Linked DNA regions of Lonchura striata. The protein of the gene in region 2 interacts with the protein of the main gene of each other region in a biochemical or structural test. Links are inferred from orthologs where the notes say so. Each region holds a gene or a part of one and is shown on either strand. Other genes may lie near its edges.

Evidence for each region.
Region 1: the proteins of RUFY1 (region 2) and RAB14 form a complex in vitro, tested with the Homo sapiens proteins (2 studies listed by BioGRID). The link is inferred for Lonchura striata from reciprocal best matches to the Homo sapiens genes RUFY1 and RAB14.

Annotation. Positions count from the first base shown.
Region 1 is NC_134624.1:9,481,167-9,491,778, reverse strand, and holds the start of RAB14 (ras-related protein Rab-14), read left to right. Parts: upstream 1-5,292; 5' UTR 5,293-5,481; intron 5,482-10,612.
Region 2 is NC_134617.1:6,872,502-6,882,870, forward strand, and holds the start of RUFY1 (RUN and FYVE domain-containing protein 1), read right to left. Parts: upstream 5,020-10,369; 5' UTR 4,891-5,019; coding exon 4,623-4,890; exon of another isoform or gene 3,006-4,622; coding exon of another isoform or gene 2,996-3,005; intron 1-2,995. UniProt on the Homo sapiens protein: Activating adapter involved in cargo sorting from early/recycling endosomes. Regulates retrieval of proteins from endosomes to the trans-Golgi network through interaction with the dynein-dynactin complex.

The DNA of each region.
Region 1 (10,612 bases), on a different chromosome or scaffold from region 2:
GCTGCCACATGTCCCCATCCCGTCAATGCCAGACAATGTTTTAATGCCTCGTTACGTGAATTTCATTGTTTTGTAATCTTCATGCAGTTATTGGTATGCCCGCACCAAAGCACACGCACAGGGGGCCTGTAGCACAGTCTCTGTGGATGACAGCCATTACTCAAACATCACTCTAGGATGCAGTGTGGGATGTGCCAGTAACCCATCCCCGTGGCTGGGAGCTGTCAGTGTGTCCGTGCACACCCTGATCCCGGGCAGCACTGCTGGGACCAGCGCTGCCGTGCCCTGCAGGCCAGTGACCTCTTCCTTCCTGTCCCCTATTTATAGTCACCCTGTCCTGCACGCCAGTTGTGGTGTGGGTGCACAGATAAGCGTGTACAGATCTCTTCTGGGCCCTGAGCCATGCAAAGCCTGGTTCTGATGCTCAGTGTCCCTCAGAACATCTCCCTCACCACAGTGAGTGCCCCTGGGCACTGTGTGAGTAGAGATCTGGGGAACAAATTGGGCTGACACAGGTAACAATTCATAATTGTTGGTTAGGTAACCCATTTAAGCTCCTAAGAAGTTTGGTGTAACAATAAATTACTTGAACATTGTTAAGTACACACATAAAGGCATGGACCTTATGGCTCATGTGCTTGGGAATATCACACAGAGCACAGTCATCCCTCCCGTGGTTGTTGTGTTTGAAGTTTGAGAAAGGAACATGATCCTTCAGAGCAATTTAGCAGGAAGCATTTTCTGTGAAACATTGTATGTAAAAACACATCTGAGAGCGAGTCAGACATCTCCAACCGCACTCAGAAACAATAGAAATTTCTAACTCCTTGCCTTTTTTATGGAGTTTTTCCTCAACACTACCAGTGAGTAGTGGTAAATCTAAGCCAGGCAGGCAGGCCACAGCCAGCTGTTGTTTTCTTTCACTCTCTCCATCATGTAATCGGAGAACTGTCTTGTGCTCTTGAGAGGAGCACTGTACCGAGACAGTGCCACCCTGCAGTGGGTTCTCACAAAAATGGTTTCTATGCCACCAACAATGCCCCCAGTTGCTGCTGGAATTGTGTGGAACAAAGACATGGTTATTCACAAAGCCAGTGGTGGGTATTTCTCCTCTGTCATGCCTATAACTGAAGAAGTTTTTTGTTACGCTTTTGTGTATGAGAACATTATTAACCAGAACATTTTAGGTGGGCTAAGAACCATCTGCCAATTTGATTCTGAAGTCTGGGAGAGCTGTGCATAACCAAACCTTTCATTAAATCGGGAACATCCTTTACAGAGGCACTGACACTGCACAATCACACAGTAACTCATCTACTTGATGTTCTGCATCATGTTCACATCCTATCATGCATTTGTAACATCATTACATAGCTAAACCAAAAATTCTTCACCTGTCCCTCAAATATGATTAATGCAAAATGACTTAGCCCTTTGAAAACACTGTGTTCAATTACTTTAAGTGCTGTTAAATTGCAATGTTTCCATGGAAATTTTAGGTCCCTGTTTCCACTATTCAGCTGGAAATGCAGCTACCCTTGTGCTGTTGAGGATAGAAAAGTGACCTTGGCATGCTGAAGCATTAGAGGGAGTTTCTTTCCAAGAAGTAACCTCTCAGTGCAGAGAGTGAGATCTGGAACCACACAGAGCAGAACCAAGAGTCTCTTGGTGTCAGAAATCACTGTGATTGATGAGAAGGACAGAAAAGTTTTTAGGGAGCCTTGTGCTGTGGCACTGCAAAGTCCTTCAGCAAGGAGACACCTTGAGGTGGGGCACAAACCCCTCCAGGTTGTTGCTGTCAGCTCCAGAGGTTGCTTTCTGTCCAGAAGCAGCTCTGTGTGGATCAATTCCTGCCTTGTGCAAGATGATTGACTCACAAAGCCTTTCACCACTGCCAGGATCTGGTCTCTGGGCATGTTGTCCTGTCAGCCAGGAAACCACAGCACTTGCATGCCTTTGAAAAGCAGATGCTGGTATTTTGCAGGCATTTCTATTGCTACAGTTTGGTTTTGTGCTAAAATATAAGCTACTTGCTAAGGACCCATCGAAGTATGAATGCTTGAGGATTACGCTCAAGGGATCAGAGTTGAAAGGTGAACTCCAAAATAAGCCAAATGAAGTCAGTAAAGCTCAGATTTAGCTTCAGTCAGGATAGAAGGAGTCATGGTGAGCACTGACCCATCAAGGGAGCTCGCTGCTGTATGTATTTGGAAGTATTCCTCAATATTAATGTTGAAGTTCCTGTGGAAAGGGGTACACTTCAATTCCATACTGCCATTCCCACAAAATATTGACAGAGAGAATCCAGCTGAGCTGCATCTACTGACACCAGAATTACCATTGGCCCAAATGTTCTTCTATTATTAATCAATTTAATTTGAAGCTTTGAGGCTGTACAAGTGCCAATGGGCTTGGACTGCCTGTTTTACATGAGATGAAGGAACTAAAAAAGATAAAGAAGGAACTAAAAAAAAAACCTTGACCACAGGAATATTTCTACAGACACCACAAAACTGAAATGGTAAGAGATGAAAGGAGAACTGGGCAACTCAAAAATAAAATACAAGTAAAGACCAGTTAGTCATCTGTGACCAATCCAGCGTTACGTGATCGACTCCCACAGACGTGCATTTCAAACTAGTTCCTGAAAAATCTTGTGTTTCTCCCCTCTCTCTGTCTAGAGAAACTTGAGCAAAGCCAGAAGATGAAGCTGGGGTTCGGGGGAAGATGACAGACAGAGAAACCTGACTTTTTATTGCCTGTTTGTGGCCTGACAGTTTAAATTCTGACAGTCTGGCCTGCTTACTGCTGTCCTTAGGGAAAAGAGTGTTGCAGACAAAAATTCCATTCAATCCCACACTCTTAATGAAAGCTGATGTGTAATTTAATTATATTTAGGTTTATTTTCTTACAAGGATGCATTCTAAAGAAGGAAGCTGATCCTACAGATCACTCTGTGTAGTTTATTTGCAAAGAAGAAAATCCTCAAGCCTTCTACCAACTGCATTAACTCAGTCTTTACTTTTCCTGGAGTTTGTGGTACAGAAATAAACCCAAGAGCAAGGCTCATGTGACCAGAAAATTTGGATGCTGCTCCCTCTTGACAGAAAGAGACACGTGGAAAAGGCTTTTCAAGAGTGGACTGACCCAGCAGAAATCCACAGGGAAGGGTGGGACCACAGAGGAGGATTCCATCCCTGGCAATTTGGTATTGTTACCAATTTAGTGGGTTTTAATTACTGTTGTTAGGTTCTGTCCAGATGTTCACAATGAATGGGCTGAAGTCAGCCTTTTCTCAATAACTGTTGTTGAAAAACTGCTGCAGGCTTTCAAGCACTCACAAGAATAAAGAACCAAAGAAATGCAGATGCTGTTACTCCATCCTCCTCGCTCATGTCTTCTGTTAACTTTAAACTTTGTAGGAATATTTGAGCAGAGCATATAAAAGCAGGAGCTTTGAAGCAAATCTGTATTGCCTTTTACATCACCTCAGAAAGGAAGGCAGTTTTAGATAAAATATATTTGGGAATTTCCGTTTAAAAGCTAAATCTTGCTCACATTTAGATAATGGCTTTTCATTTTGTTGCAGGTAAGAAACAAAATAATTCTATCCCCAAACCGCTTCTCATTTCTGTTCACAATTAAATAAACCAGGCTCCAGATTAAAGGGATTTTCCGAGTTGTTGAGTAATCCTGAGGTGTCTCCGTGGGCTCTGCAGGGGGAAGTGCCACCCTGTGACTGGAGAGGCGCAAACCCGAGGAGCCTGTGCCTGCCTGGGGGAGAGGGCTGGCTGCAATTCCCCCTGGAAAAGAAGCTGCAGCTCCAACCAGCCACTCCCACCCCGGGCAGGCTGTGCCCCCACTGCCCTTCCCATGGATGACAGCAATAATTACCTGTATGATTCCCTCTTGTAAAAACACGCAAACTCACCCTGCCTGCCTGACGCTACCAACACTGAGCCATAGATAGAGAAATCCTCAATGTATTTTGGTGTGTGATATCTGAACGATTCTGAATTAGAAAACCTCTCATTGCAGTGCCTGTGTTAACAGAATAATATCTGGGACAGTACCAGGGAAGTGTGCTTTTCTCAAGTCAGTAAACCAGACTGCAATTGTGTCACAACAGTCAGGTCATTTTCCGTTTAAAGACTCCCTCTCGTGGAAATCATTCTCACTGGCTCGTTTTGACCTATTTTTCTAGCAAAAGTCACTCCATATAAGGTTCTGCAAAACTTGAAAAGGGTTCTGTTGCACAGTTTTGAAGTTAGAACCCTGACAATAAGTGACAGGAGTCCTACATCTTTACTACATTGCCAGCAGATTTTGTATTTTTCTGTTGAATCTTTGCTTTTTATCACTCAGAGATTTGTTTAGCATGTAGATAAAGGGGAAAAGAATTCTAATTGTTTTTCTTCAGTGCTTTTTACTCTATGAAGTTTCTGCCCAGATAACAGGGAGTGTTATCTACCATGCAGTTTCTCCCTGGCAGAGGTTGAGTAATAATTAGGGGGTGGCTGATTCATGGAAAGCAGAGGATTCCCTGGCTGTTGCTCAACTAAGGAAATGGAATTAGTAATGTCACAGTAATGGAGATGGAAAATGCCCATGTGAAAATAGTTCCATAGAAATGTTATGGCAGTGGGGAAGCTGAAATTTAAATCTTGGACAGTGACCCACAGCAGAATCTGATATTTGCTGTAATGTTTGGAATTGAAACAAAATCCTTATTGGGGAAATTTATTGATATACTTTTACACCTCCCGAACCGCTGATTTATTTTTTAAATCCCGTGAACTGTGAGATTTGGGCAGTACGTTGCGCTTTTAGGTCTTGAGGTTCGCATGCCACGAGTGTTTAAAAAGCTGATTTAAATTATTCAAAGGCCAAATGAACACCTTCGAGCATTTCACGGGACGTTGCCAAGCACCGGGCGCTGCTCCTGGAGACAGACGGGGACCTCCGGAGCCCCTCAGGGCGCGACATCCCCGTACCTGCGCCGCGCCGGGCCGTGCATTCTCACCATTGCCCCGCGAGCTGGGGGTTCCGGGCGGGTCGCTGTTGGCTTCCGTGCCGTTTTCCCGGAGAACAGCGCGGAAATCCGGGATTTTCCGCGGCGCCGGCGGCCCCGCTCCGCCCTGAGGCGCCGCCGCCGCCGCCTGAGGGCGCGCGCGCCCGCCCCGCCCCGCGCGGCCCCGCCCCGCGCGCGCTCCCGCCCCGCCGCGCAGCGGCCGCCGTGATTGGCTGCGCCGCGGCGCCCTCGCGCCCACTCTTTGTGCGGCCCCGGCGCCCGTCGAGAGTGGGAGGGGAAACCCCGTGCGAGGGGCGCCGCCATCTTGGCTGCGGGGGTGATGGGGGCGCAGCGGAGCCGCGTCTGAGGCAGCGCAGCGAGCCCGGAGCGAGCCGAGCCACACAGCCCGCGGGGGCACCGGGCACCGCCCGCACGGCCGCGCTGCACCGCTCCCTGAGCCCCGAGCACAGGTACGGCGCGCCGGCACGGCCCGCCCGGCCGGGCCGCTGCAGCGCCAGGCCCCGCGCCGCGGCTCCGCGGGCCGGGGCGGGTCCCGGTCGGCCGCGCTCCGTCCCGGGGCCGCCCCGAGGCGCGGCCCGGCGGGCCCGGGGCCGGCAGCGAGGGGAAGGGGCGGCCGGGCTGAGCGGGGGGAGGCTGCGGGCAGGACTAGGCCGCTTGGCTCTGTGGCACCGCCGCCTCCCAGCGCTCCTCGGCACCGCCGCCAGCAACACCGGCGATATTTTTATATGTGTGTTCTGTATCTCCCCCTTACGAGCTGTTGCAGTTGCACGGAGGGTGTGTATGTGTGTATTGTGCCGTGTATGTGGCCGATGTGCAGCGTTATCTCTGCTTTTAATTGTTCTATTGACCTGTGCCGTCATGAACTTTGACAGAAAAATAACTTTGAGGGTTGAGGGAAAAGCCACTTCCTATTTGAGAAAGCAGCGAAAGTATTCTAGACTGTTTTTTTTTTTTTTTTTTGTCAAAGCTTATTGAGGCTAAAGAGAGCGAAATTATTTCCTTTCCAATTGTTTATTGCCTGTTTGCAGCACACGAAGTATCCACAACATCTGTTGGTAGCTTTGTCTTGAATTGGAGTTGTGCTGAATTATCGTGGCAGTAAAGCCAGAGAAAGGTGGGTGTCTGCACTGGAGTGCCTCTGGAGGTTACTCGCTGTGGCTTTTGCTTTAAAACAGGGTGGATCTGTGTTGGGATGTTTTTCAGAGGTGACAGAGCCCCTTAGTGAACAGGATTCCTCAGGGTGGCTGTGTCCTAAATCCCAAGTCACATCTTTTACAGGTGTTATCCTGTGGAGTGTATTGCCTGGGATTGATTCCTGTCCTGGTTTGGACTGCAGAGCCCTTGTGCTTGGGCAGTACTTGCTGATGGGAAGAAAATACCTTGGGCAGCTTAATTACTAAATGTCACAATTTAATGTGGTTTATAAAGGAATTTGCTAGCTTCCTGTAGGGATTTAAAAATGTCGTAAGTCTGAGTGCAAGGAAGAAGTTCTCTTTTCCATTTTATGAGTAACAAAAAAATGAGGAGTTCTTATGAAGGACAGCAGTTTGGAAACAAACCTGTTCTACTGGAGTTACTGGGATGTAAAATGTAAATAATACTTTAAAATTACCTGCTCACTTCTGGGCATCTAATGAAACCTGATTAAGATTGATTCTCATTTTGCTGAATCTTCCTGAAACAGGAGGTAGCTCTTAGTTAATATTTACCTAAAACGTCTGTGACTTGTGTTTTCCTAGGTGGTGACTCCAGAGTGTTCTGATTTATTGGAATGACAGAAAACTCTTCTGGTTTTCTATATTCTGTCCCAAATTTACCTCTGGACCTTGGTTCTCCTGCTGGGAACAGACATGCAACAGGTTGGAGTGTTCTGTAGGAAGAGAAGAGTAGGATAAGTGAGGAAATACAAGTGGATAAGGGGTGGCTGTGGGGAGGGACATGGCAGAAGGTGCTCGAGCTGATGAGGACGGGTAGGCAGTGATTAGTTCAGCTCTGCTGCTGGGGTGTGGTTAGGGAGAATTGAAGTGTGCATGTATAAATGCAGGAAGCAAAATGGAGTAACTTAATGAAGCAGGATGTGAAACCAGCAGAATGATAACCAGGACAACGTGGATGTGACTGGAGAGCTGGTGAGGAAAGTCAGAAAGTGAAGGTAGTGTGTTAGGTAGCTTTGATTTAAAAAGAAAAATGAAGCTCTCCTGGAGGAAGGAGAAGTGAAGGCCTGTGAAGCCTTTAGAAGAACCTCCTAGGCCTCAGGCTGGGCTAAGGTGTTTGATGTGATTAGGGAACACAGCAAATGCATTTCTTCAAGAACAGCCTGGAAAGGGCTCTGCAGGGCTGCAGTCTGAGCCCCAGAGCCTGCAGGCCTCGTGTGCTCTCAGGGAAAGAGTAACTGGAGGTGGGAGTAGTAAGGAAATGCAAAGTGATCCTGGACAGCAGCTCCCAGAGGCTGCTGGGTGAGCAGAGATCAGCTGAGCCAAATTTCCTGTCTTGTGCTGATTGGCTGCTTTGGTGAAATCCAAGAGGGGGAAGCAAGGGAGGATGACTCTGGAAGAGCTGAGGGATGAGTAAGGAACTGGCCAGCAACAAGTGATGTTGTCAGACAGGTGTGAAGGCTGCAGCAGGCTCTGAAACTCCTCAGGAATCAGGCTCAGCAGGGCTTTGTAAAGCCAAGCCTGCAAAAATGAATAAATAAGCAGAGCACAGTGGCTGCAGAGCATCATCTTAAAGAGGGCTGAGATGTTGATGTGGTTGAGGAAGACCTGAATGTCCTTGGTGTGTGAAAGCCAGAGAACCACAGTGGAATTTAATTGTAGCAGACCTCATGGAGTGCTGTGGACAACAGACCTATGGGAATTCAGTGCTTTGGTGAATTAATTGATAGCAGAGCTGTTGTTACCTTCAGTGTGCTGTTATCTGACAGGTGACCATAACTGAAGCACTCACAGACTGTTTCTAGTAGCCTGCTGAGGTCAGGTACCAGTTGAACCACATTGTTCTGTGTGCTTGACAAAAGTCTTATCAGGGGAAAAGTGCAATTACAAAATGAAACAATTCTACCTCTTTCCAGCTCCTCCCCCTTACCAATCTTATTGTTGTCTGTTAATTAACATCTAAATAATCTACAGATTCAACTGTGAGAGCTTTTAGTACTGCACATCCTTGGGGAATGATGCACAGAACACCTGGCTGCCCAGAGAGACTACAAAATGCTTTTTGCTTCAGAGTAGCTCCCAGTGGTTCCCTGGCTGCAGAGTTCTGTCCTTTGCAGGGAACCAGGAACAGCTGGGCAGTGCTGAGTTTGGAGGTGGTAGTTTTTTCCCCAGCTCTCATCCCTGCACATGGACCATCCATCAGCTGGTGGAATGAACCACAGCAGTATCTGAAAAGCCCTCTGCATGCAGGTTCTGGTCTCCCTTATAACACACCTGCTTCTTGTTGAGTATAAAGATAATAAACTTCTTAGTGCAAGTGATATCCAGTGAAGAGTTAAAACTATGTCTTTGAACTGGAAGGAAATGCACAGATCTCACAAAGGCTGGTATGCATCTGATATTTACAGGTTATGTTACTGTGATAAAGAATGTTACAGCAGTGTGCCCAGAACAATCTTATCTCGGGAAGTACAGATGTAGCTGATACTTGAAATAAGGTTTCAGTGAGATTTCTAAATATCTGTGTGGTGCTTGTTGATTAGAGAAGGAGATGTACATGTACTGGTGTCTCATTAAGGTCATCTTTAACTTTATTTTCCAAAAAAAGCCTCCAAGAAGAAGTTGATATATGGGAAATGGATTTGGTGACACTGCTCACTGTAAAATGTCCAGTCTTAATGTAATGCAGAAATGAATTGTATAGGCTTTGAAATGAGCATCAGTCTGTACTCAGTGAGCTCCTCTGGCCAGTGGCCATCCTGCACTAATGCTCTGGGCTCCAGGGCAGCCGTACCTGGGAGGAGGCAGCCGGGGCTGGGCTGGCAGCCTCTCCTGGAAGAAGGATGGCAGGTAGGCCAAGCTCCCAGACTAAACTTCTGCTTTCTGTTAGCAGGAAACTCATGGCTGGTTAACTCGGGTGGCACAGTGCCAGCAGTGGCGAGGCTGAGCTCTGGATATTTATGTGCAACTTTCTCAGCCCTGCAGTTCTTGCCCTCCCAGGGGGAAAGCCCATTCCCCCCGGTTGGAATTACTGAGATTCACGTGTGTGGGACAGGGGGTGGAGGCAGAACTTGAGTTCCTGCAGAGGGGCGATGCCTATCAAGGCATCAAGCCCTTGCATTGACATGTAGCTGATAGTTTAGAATTTACTGACCCCTCTTGTGCCCTGTTCTTGTCTGCACTTCCTTCTTTCGTCTGCAGTAAATGCTGAGGTGGTCAGTTTTCCAAGGCTAAATTCTCAGCGGGGTTTCTGTGTTTAGTTAGTTGCATTTTTTTTTTCTCCTTCAGCACAGAGTCCTTGTGGAATATCACTTCTATTCCAAGATCTGAGTACAGTTTGAATTCCTGCTAATCCTTATTGGAATTTGAGTGTTTAAAATTTTGTTATTTGGTTGTTTTAGTGTTGCTTGGGTTTTTATTTGACTTTTTATTTAAAGGAATCATCTGTTCTCCAGAAAACATTCCTGACCTTTACTAATGGTTTGGAGTATTTCAGAATCTTTTCTGTAATGTGACCCTTGCAATAAATGTAATACCAGTAGTTTTTTGCATTGAAATAGCATAGTTTCTTACTTTCTTACTTAGAGGGAATAATGAAAATGGGCATATCTCAGCAAGCAGAAACAGTCTGGCAAACAGCTGTATATTTAGCAATGAAGATCTAGTTGAGACTCGCTTCAAATTCAGTTTGTGACAGAGACTGCACTGAGTTCCTGATGTGTTCATGCTTTAAAAAAAGTCCTCCTCACTTTCCTGACTTGGAAAGCAGGATGCATTTCCCTCCTGGTTGGAACAGCAGAGCAGTACAACATTGTTTACCACACAGTGCTATCCTAAAGTCATGTGCTCAGAAACACGAAACTTCCTTGTGTTTGGGAGTACTTGGCATTCCTTGGCCTCCTGGTCTTGGGAAGAAGAGTGGGCATGCAGGCTGGTTTCATAGCCACACAGATGCTTGGTTCCCTGTCTCAGAGTTCATGGTGCTGGTTGGTTTGGTTGGGGTTTTTAACAGCATAAGTTACTGGACATTTCCATCCTCAGAATGCACAGGAGATCTTTGGTGCATATTGGTGCTCTTGGCGTCTTGTGGCTGTAACACCCAGCTGTTCTCTGTGGAAAACAGGGCAGTTCCTGCTCTCCTGAACCACTTGCATGTATGGATCAGTTTGTTCAAACTTTGTTTTATATTTCCAGTTGCCTCAAGGACCCCCAGTTGAGCCCTGTGTGCCATCACATGGAGCTGAGCTGTGGGCGTGGTGCTCCTGCCCTGCCCACAAAGGAGGTGGCAGGTGAAGGGTCCTGCAGGAACACGTGCTTTGTGTGCCCAGTTTACCGTGCTGGAGAAGAAAAAGAACATAATGTATAAAGATGTTCAGGAAACTTGAAGGACTGGATGTTTCCACAGTGACACATTCCTTTGGAACTC
Region 2 (10,369 bases):
CGGTGCCCCCGCTGCGGGGCAAAGCCCCCTCAGCGCCCCGGGGGGACGCGGCCCCGGCCCGGCCCGCGGGGTCCGTACCTGAGCGGCGGGGCCGGGCCGGCGCCGCGGGACTCCGGGATGCTGAGGGACCCCGGCCCGCCGCGGGACCCCGGGATGCCGAGGGACCCCGGGATGCCGAGGGACCCCGGGATGCCGCGGGACCCCGGGATGCCGAGGGACCCCGGGATGCCGAGGGACCCCGGGATGCCGCGGGACCCCGGGATGCCGAGGGACCCCGGGATGCCGAGGGACCCCGGGATGCTGAGGGACCCCGGGATGCCGCGGGACCCCGGGATGCTGAGGGACCCCGGGATGCCGCGGGACCCCGGGATGCTGAGGGACCCCGGGATGCCGCGGGACCCCGGGATGCTGAGGGACCCCGGGATGCCGCGGGACCCCGGGATGCTGAGGGACCCCGGGATGCCGCGGGACCCCGGGATGCCGAGGGACCCCGGGATGCTGAGGGACCCCGGGATGCCGAGGGACCCCGGCCCGCCGCGGGACCCCGGGATGCCGAGGGACCCCGGGATGCCGCGGGACCCGGGGATGCCGAGGGACCCCGGCCCGCCGCGGGACCCCGGGATGCTGAGGGACCCCGGGATGCTGAGGGACCCCGGGATGCCGAGGGACCCCGGGATGCTGAGGGACCCCGGGATGCTGAGGGACCCCGGGATGCCGAGGGACCCCGGGATGCCGAGGGACCCCGGGATGCTGAGGGACCCCGGCCCGCCGCCGGACCCCGGCCCGCCGCGTTGCCACGGCCACGGCGCGGCGGCGGGCCCGCCGCCATCTTAGAGCCCCGGCAGCGGCGCGTTGCAAAATGTGGAATTAGGTACAGATGTACTTCAGAAAGGATGTTTCTCGATCTCTGTACAGTTTCAAGCCTAAGCAACAATCAGGGCGATTTAACCCTGAAACATCAGCTAACGAGCAAAGTGTAAGTGGCGCCCAGGTGTTACAAAGGCGAATCTCAAATTGCCTTGTTAAGGTTTAGGGCTGGACTGTGTCCAGCCCTTCAGGGACCTCAGGCCTAGGGGAGGTTAATAAAAGGATGTAGCAGCGATAGTGGATGCAAAGGATGCAGAATTTATGTGCTGCAAGGACGGCCTGAAGCTGAGTTGGGAGAGGTTTAGGTTGAGATCAGGAAAAGGTTCCTCACCCAGAGGATGTTTGGGCGCTGGAATGGGCTCCTCATGGCAGTGGTAACAGCACCAAGCCTGACAGAGCTCAAGCATTTGTACATTTGTACAACACTTTCAGACACATGGTGTGACTCTTGTGGATGGTCCTGTACAGGGATAGCAGCTGGACTCAATGATCCTAGGGGGTCCTTGCCAATCCAGCATATTCTATGATTTTATGACATTTGGCAGAACCCCCAATATAAGGAAGAAACTCCTAAAATGCAGCAACTGTGCTCAATCAGCTCTGACTGGTAGAAGGTAATTCTGGCAGGGGCAGATTGTGACCACTGACCCAAGAAACTCACTGACCCAAAAGAAAAGACAGACTGAGCATGGATATCATTGACTAATAGAAGACAGAATAATAATTAATAAGAGAACTAGGGAATTTGTAACCAATGAACATTAATGCCTAATACCTAAAATAGTGAAACGTTTTGGTACTTGTGCTGGCTTTGTGGATTTGTCACCCAGCCCCCTTCTGTGCAAAACTGTAAATAAATCAAATCCCTTCACTCTGCATGGATTGGCTCCTTGCAGGCCAAGTGAAATAACCTGTTGTGGGACAACAGGGGGAGTGGGACTAGGGCCAGCTCCCTTGCTTTTTAAGGCTCCTACAGGCTCTGACAGGAGCTTCCAACCACAGCCCAGTGGCCACCAAAATCAGGTTTTAAGCCACTGCTGTTTCAGCAGGACAGTCTTGCTGTCACCTGTGGTCACACACTCTGCAGAAAAAGCAGTGGCAGAAGCCCCAGCCCTGTGCCAGTCACACTCAAGATGGTTAACAATGTTTTTAAGATTGTGCAAAAGCCTCTTCAGTGTTTTCCTTTTTGTACACACAATGTTAATTTAGGGTTAAAAATGAGCAAAATACTCCTTGTATCAGAAGAGGGAAAACAGAGTAATTCTAATCTAACTGACCTTAATAACCACAATACACACAAAATGTTGTCATCTCTGCATGCTACTCTATAGTTCATTGAATATATACTATATACAGTTTATACAATTGTATATACAGTATATAATCAATATACATTATATTCTAGATATACACATATCTAGAAGGAGTATACTGTATATTGCCTATAGCCAATGGATGCTTCAAAACTGTATATAATGAGGCTAAGGATTAAAAGCATCACAATATTTAGAATTTTTATCTCAATATTGTCAGGTTACACATTAGGAACAGATGAAAAGCTGCACAAACAAAAACACAGTGATATTTTTGGGGTGTTTCAAAGCAGTGCTAACCATTTTGATGTCTTTTCGAATTTGAATTTTTACTTACCAAGAATACTTTGCCTCTACACCTTGCTACACCTTAATTACCTTACATTTATTACCCAGAAGACTTAAAAAAATAAAATACCATGAATGAAATGCTGCTTATGAAAACACTTTTAAACTAAGAAGTGTCTTAATATCAGTTTGCATTAAGTTAAATTACTTGAACAATATTTTTTAGATGGTTGCAAATTTACACAGTCAAGTACATCTTTCGCAAAACCGTGCAGATCGATACATGCAAAATAAACAGGTATTAGACACACTAGCAAAGCCAAGCTTTAAAGATTAGGAATCAGGTTACCCCAGTGCAAAAGATCAGAGATGTGATGCTGCAATCTTTAAGAATGCAGTCACACAGTTTTGTATCTTATTCAACTCAAGAGATTTGTTTCAACATCTTTTTGAAGCCACATGCCTTGTTTACTATAATTATTCAGCACACTCAAGTCAGAAAACACTGAAGCACAAAGGAAGCTCACAGTTCTCCATCCCTTGGTCTTTGGGACTGCAAGTCTTTCTTGATTCATTTCCTTTAGATTTGAAGCTTCTGGCCTCTCTGCAAGGCAGGACACAATTTCCTCAGTAGAAGACACTGGTTTTAGGATGGGGTTTATGTGTTTAGAACATGTGATCAAGGGATCTGAAGTAGCAGACAGAGGTTATAAAATCCCTGGAAAAAGATTACAGCAGGCAACAAGCTCCAAGTTCTCCACAACAGGTCTTGCAGGCCTTGGCTTATTTCTTAAACATACCTGCTTTAAATTATAATTAAGTGCTTAGTCAAAGGTAATATTGAACAGGTAGAACAGGTGCCTTAGCGCCTGTTTACATTTAATATACAAGTTATTAACTTGTATTCTTATACAATTTATTAATTGTATTTTTCATACAGAATTTTCCATAACACTTATCAACAAAATATAATCCAAATCCCCTGAACAACGTGGGAAGGTTGTGGTGTGTTCCCTTACTTTACAAGGAAGAAGTGGAAAGATTATGGTAAAAGTTCCATAAAATGTGGGAGCTTCATTTCAGGTAAGACAATATTTTATTCCCTGCCCCTTGCCAAATAATGCTGTGTGTTGTTTTCAATTCCATCTATCCACAGCATTATTCCAAAAGCAAACAAATAAACTGGGATCTTCTGCACTTGGTCAGGTTAGATCCCAGGTGTGCAAGATGGGCACTCGGGAAACAAACCTGCGAGAAGTTTGGTGTGAGACTCTGAGATGCAGGAAAAGAGTCTGTTTTTTTAGGACAATTAATCCTCAACTCTGACTATGCAACATTGAGGAATTTTCACCAAAAAAAAAAATGAAGAAGTCCATCAGCAGTAACATTACCCCTGCTGTCACAACACAGTGGCGTGGAATTTCCCTTTGAATACTCAGTACCATTAAAAACAAAAAGGTCAGCACCAAACAGAGCAAAACTGAGCTCCAGTGCTCCAGAACAATTAAGCACCAGTCTGAGACTCTGGAATATAAGGCTCCAGGCCCAATTTATGATACATTTTAATGGGTTTGGGTTTTTTTTCCCCCACTTTATAAATATTGCTGAGATTTATTTTCCATATGATTCAACTAAAGCCATTTTAATTCAGTTCTAGGAGACCTGTTCCACAAATCTGCTAGATCCACAAATGCCAATGTTGAACAAAGCAGTCTCTGGCTAAACTGAGGGCATTTTTAGTGTAGTTAAAAAGTAACTTGTAACAAATCTGTATCTTAGTTTGCTGGTCTAGTCTCTGACATGAAAAGTACAGAGATTCCTTCCCGGAACCAGCAGCACTCGAGGGAGGATGTGGAATTTTGAGAGATCCCTCAGTGCAGTCAGGCTGCTGGAGCTTTAAGGAGAAAGAGAAAAGGCAGCAAATACAAGTCAGTTTCTCCACATATAAAGAATTTAGGCTTCTTCTGGTTATACTGCATTTCTGAAATTCTACATCTGTGTCACTTGTTTAATTTTACTTCAATACAAAACTGCAGCATCTTAAAGAAATTCAAAGTAACACCCACGCACCACTGACACGACCCAGCAGCACTTACGGGAGCGAACTCATTTGCGCACCACAAAAGCGAGTTTACTAAAGAAGCGGAGCCGTACTTGTCTTTGCCGGGCTGTCACTGCTGCCGGGCTTGGACACCAATCCCACCAGGGATGCGGACTTCAGGGCGCTGCCATAGCTCAGCGCCAAGTTTTCCGAGGCTTTCCTGGCCAGAGACAAGATAGGAGCAGACCACCGCGCTTCCTCCGGTTTCGCCTTCTCCTCGTTGCTCAGCTCGGCCGCGTCAGGGAGCTGCTTTTTGTCGATAATCTCAAAATCTTCCTCCTTTCCCGCGGCGGGCGCGGCGCGGCGCTCCCCGGCAGCCATCTTGGCAGGGTCACATGACCGCGGCTCGGGAGCCGCCCCCGCCGCGGGTGAGGGGCGGGAACCGGGCGGGTGAGGGGAGCGGCGGGAACCGGGAACGGGAACGGGAACGGGAACGGGAACGGGAACGGGAACGGGAACCGGGAACGGGAACGGGAACGGGAACCGGAACGGGAACGGGAACGGGAACGGGAACCGGGAACGGGAACGGGAACCGGAACGGGAACGGGAACGGGAACCGGGAACCAGGGACCAGGGACAGGGACCAGGGCAGGTCCCGCAGGCAGCGAGAAGCACCTGCACGCAGACGCAGGGCTGTAAGGCATGCCTGGCCAGGACAACACTTCCCTTGGTGTTCAGAGTTAAATGGCGTGGAAGACGACGAGTTTACCTTTGAACAACTTAGTAACAAAAAGTACAGGTTTTTACTGCTGTCTGTGTCCCCAGACATAATTTTCAATAAAAAAATTAATGTGTTTTGACGGCTCAGATTTACACAGTTAGATAGAGACAGCTTAACGAGGTCCCCGTTGCTCTGCCTTGTGAATCACGTCGTTGTGATTTAAAGGGGAGGATTGGTATGACAGGTGTGTGCTGCTGTGGAAAGGCATTGTCCTCGTCACTGACATGGAAACACAACTACACAGTAAAGCCGCTTCATTAATGTGCATGGGCTGGGTTTGGTAGAAAAATACATCATGAAGGGGAACTGAAATAATTCCACTATGAAAATTCGATCTTGCCGTGTGCCTCAAATATTGACGTAGCCTACTGATGTATGGCTTGTTAACTTTTTCCATGCAGCAGCTGCGTGTGCTTGAGATATGTCACTCGTTTAGTCACGAGGTAGTAGATGCTGTGTATGAGCTTTTTATGCTACATAGAGGGAAGTCTTTTGGGTGATTTTTTTTTCTTTTGGGTGATTTTTTTTTAAGAAAAAAAATAGGAGAAGGAGGCTAGAATAGGAGACTTGAAGGTCAATTTCTTTAGTCTTGCAGCAATAGAAATCCTCTGGTCTATATATGTATTTTTTCTTAATATAAGCTACTTTATGATCGGGTCTTGACTTCTTAGATACTGAAAATTTAACAACTTGCACAAAGCACACGGAAGCTCTTTTATTTTTGTTGAGAATTCAGCGATCAGCAGCCTCTTATTCACCCATGATTCAGATGAGCTAAGTATAGGCTTTAAGCCACTTTTGCTAAAGCCTGCTAGAGTTAAGTTCTGCTCCATCTTGTGGTCTCCAGCAGTATTGGGCTGTTCATAAGGAAATAGCTCAGCTCTGTAGGTTTCTGTCTTGCCCTTGAATATATGAATAAACCTCTTGACAGGAGTGAGACATTATAGTATTTTTCTGCCTTCCATTAACTACCCAATATTAGAGTCAGGGTGGAGAAGGTAGTCTTGACTAGAAGCAGAATTCTAAGCATTAAAATATTTTTTCCCCCAATGCATCTGAAGAATAGGGCATAAAAGTTCTGTGACTGAGAACATAAGAGTTAATCAAGGCTCTTCTTTACCTCATTATGTTACTCCCTTAAGATAACGATGCCTCAGACTCCTCTTTACAGCCTTACAATGAGCTATTTTGTAAAAATATGAAGTGAAGCTATCACATAGTTGCAATCATATTTTCTTATGTTACTATTAAAAAAACATTTGACAATTTTATTTCAAGTGTCTGATGAGGAAAAGTTATACTGTGCATAATAAATGTACTCAAACTTTTGTTACACATGATTTAATTGTTTCACTTACTACTATTTGGTCAAAATTACTTAATCAGCCACTGTTTGCTTTAAATGCCCTCTGTCCTCACACTTCTTATTTTAAAGCAAATAAGAAGTCTTGTGACATTGTAAGGGAGCCCTAAGTTAAAGAGATTTGTTTCGTTTACGAAGTACAATTTCCTAAGGAATCATTTGTGGCAGCCAAGGAGAGTGAAGTTAATACAGAATACAGCTTTAAGCACATTAAATAAAAATTGAAGAAACTCAAAACCAAAAGTGATGTAACTTTGGTTTCAGTTCACTGATTTTTCAGGGAGGGGCACTATGCATGAATAACTTTGATTACTTTTAGCTTGGAGATCGGGCTTGTTTTGGTCTTCTGCAGATGATGGTATTTCACCACTCTTTTCTTTTTGCAGACCACTGATCCAGCTCTTGCTACTCTTGTGAAGATGAACAATATTTTCTTTTGAAAGCCCATTTTTGTGGCTAGTTTTGGTCTGCCATAAATGTCAGTTCTGTGTAATCACAAAAATACTTAGAATAGTTAGGACTCATTGAAAAGCTAGGGGACTAAGTGACCTACTTACTACTTTTTTCTTTTCCTAACCCTAAAAAATAAGGTGTTTCTAAAGAAAAAAAAATACCATTATGAAGCTGAGATAAATACATTTCTGTTCTTTTTTTCATGCAATCTTGCATAGCCTTGTTTGGTTTTACTGACCCCCTCTTCTCTATCTTCTTATGTGACAGGATAAAAACTCACTTTTGAAATACTTAAAAAATAATGAATTCAAAGTGTAGAAAATATAATCCTGGAAGAATTTCTATTTTAATCAGGAAATTGTACAGGAAATTTAATACAAATGTCTGGCTAGCAGAATGAAAGATAATTAAAAAAAACCCCAAACCCTCAACCATTTCCACGTCCATGAATGAATTCTTCCCTTATAACAGTGATTAAGTAATTAGAGACAAAAGTTTTAGCTGTTGTTCTACCTCTGATGCAGCTAATTAGTTATTTTCCTATCACTTGTAATCAAAGAGGTGTTTGAAGAAAACCAAACTTCCAAACATACTTCTATTGAATAAAATAATTTTTGTAATTTCAAAGCCACAACTTTATGGTCCCTGACCCCACTGCACCAACTAGTGCCATCCTTGCATCAACACATTGGTAATGACAGAATCAGCTGTTTGAAACTTCTTTCTAAAATCATTAGTGTCCCTAAGAGGACATGGAAATATTTATAGCTGGAAATGTGTGTCATTGTAGTAAATAAAGGAAAAGACAGTAAAATATGGAAGAGAAACTTGCATTGAGATGTTGGCATAGAATCAAAAGAACAGTAGCTCACTCAGTAAAGTTTAAATCAGTTAAGACCAAACACCCACCAGATACATATTGAATGACAGTCTGAAGAAAAGTCCAGGATATTTATTGTTCTACTCTGAACTATTGCCTTGTTTTTAGAAAAAATACCTTTCAATAGGAGTGTAGTGAACTAGAATGTGGAGTATGAGAAAGAAGGTAAAAAACACACACTGATTTTCATTTAGTTATTTAACATTCGTCTCTGTAAAAAGAGGCAGGGGCAGAACTTCCCAGCAGGTGACACTATGGCACCGCTTTTTTCAAGAGCAGCCTCTAACGCCCTGCAAACCCCACATCCTGAGAAAATACCGGAGAGCTCCAGGAAAAGAACCAAACTGAGATGCTCATCGGAGCGACCCCTGAAGCTGCTCTGTGACAGCGGCTGTGCCAACAGAGACCTCCTCTCCTCTCCTCTCCTCTCCTCTCCTCTCCTCTCCTCTCCTCTCCTCTCCTCTCCTCTCCTCTCCTCTCCTCTCCTCTCCTCTCCTCTCCTCTCCTCTCCTCTCCTCTCCTCTCCTCTCCTCTCCTCTCCTCTCCTCTCCTCTCCTCTCCTCTCCTCTCCTCTCCTCTCCTCTCCTCTCCTCTCCTCTCCTCTCCTCTCCTCTCCTCTCCTCTCCTCTCCTCTCCTCTCCTCTCCTCTCCTCTCCTCTCCTCTCCTCTCCTCTCCTCTCCTCTCCTCTCCTCTCCTCTCCTCTCCTCTCCTCTCCTCTCCTCTCCTCTCCTCTCCTCTCCTCTCCTCTCCTCTCCTCTCCTCTCCTCTCCTCTCCTCTCCTCTCCTCTCCTCTCCTCTCCTCTCCTCTCCTCTCCTCTCCTCTCCTCTCCTCTCCTCTCCTCTCCTCTCCTCTCCTCTCCTCTCCTCTCCTCTCCTCTCCTCTCCTCTCCTCTCCTCTCCTCTCCTCTCCTCTCCTCTCCTCTCCTCTCCTCTCCTCTCTTCTCCAGACAGTTTTGTATCAAGTACAATTTGTAAGGTTTTATAAAAGTGCTGTAAATTGACTTGACCGAGGGTCATAGGGTCAAGGGAATTATAGTAAGATATGAATGCAGTATTTTTGAAATGTGCTGACATTTTTGCTACTTAAAGCAGTTTTCAACTTACACACATGAGAATACTTATATGTGACTTAATTAGCTGAAGAAATGGGCTCATATTGCTCTAGTGTAACAGAAATTATGCAAATTGCAGAAGAAAATGTTGTTAGTTATTATATCAACCAATGAAATACATTATATACTCCCTAGACAAGTTTAGAAAAATACCTTTTTGCTTTACAAAACATAAATAATTAAATTAACTGTTAGCTATTTTAATCATCTGTTTCAAAAGCAAATTTTGGAAGTTCATAAACATTTAATCCATTATCCATAAACTAAATAACATTTAGGTGCTTGCATGCAGTTCCGGTGAAGTGCACTCTTGCACTTGAGGGCGCAGTGTGGCACCAACTAGCTCAGGTTTCTCCACAAAGAATGAGATCTTATGAGTGAGTCCACTTTGTAAAGTGCAGGACACAAAAAGTTGGAAAAAGTGCAACAAGTAGTGTGATAAATGCAAATCCTGGTTTTCTGCTGCCTTTGATTTTCTCATTTTCTGATTTCTCTATGAGTGACGCTGCATACTAATTAGTAAGATATTTAGAGAGCTTAAACCAAAAGTGAAGTCAATAAATCTTTAGCTAGATTTTTCATTGTTTTAAAGAGAAAAAATATCTTCTTTCCTTTCTCAGAGTGTTTTTCCTTGCAGATCTGTACTTAAATTTGGTACACCACACTAAGGGATAACTCCCAGACCTTTTGATTCAATAGGAATTTTTGTAGGGTGAAAAAGGGAAAAAAATGTTTTAGGGATTTAAAAAAGGACCTTAATTATTGACAGAATCAAAGGGAAACCTGAGTTTTTGGTTAATGCAGGTGTGCAGCTCAGCTTCACCATGTCTGTTATCAGCTCCCCTTATATTACAGGTTTGGCTAATTTCTTGTCAGGCCTTTCCATGTTTGATGGAAGCTAGAGTAGGCAGGTTAGATGTTAACAGTGAGATCGCTTAGTGATCTCTGACCAGAAATCCTTTGAAATATCTTCACTGATCCATCTGAGGGAATTAATCATATGTAAGCATGTGACCTTTGGAAACAGAACTGAAAAATGCAGGGCTCTAGCCTAATGGTAGACTGAAGGCTTGTACATGCACCAGTACAACCTCCCCAGAAACCACTAAATTATTATTCTTTAATTTTTTTCTATTTAGATCCTCAGTTTATATTGTTCCTGACTCACACATTCACCTTGAATGCTGATGATACTCTCATATAGGCAGATGTAACTTCCTCAAATACTAAGAAACAGAGCAACCAAGGAATCATGACATAATTTTCAGCT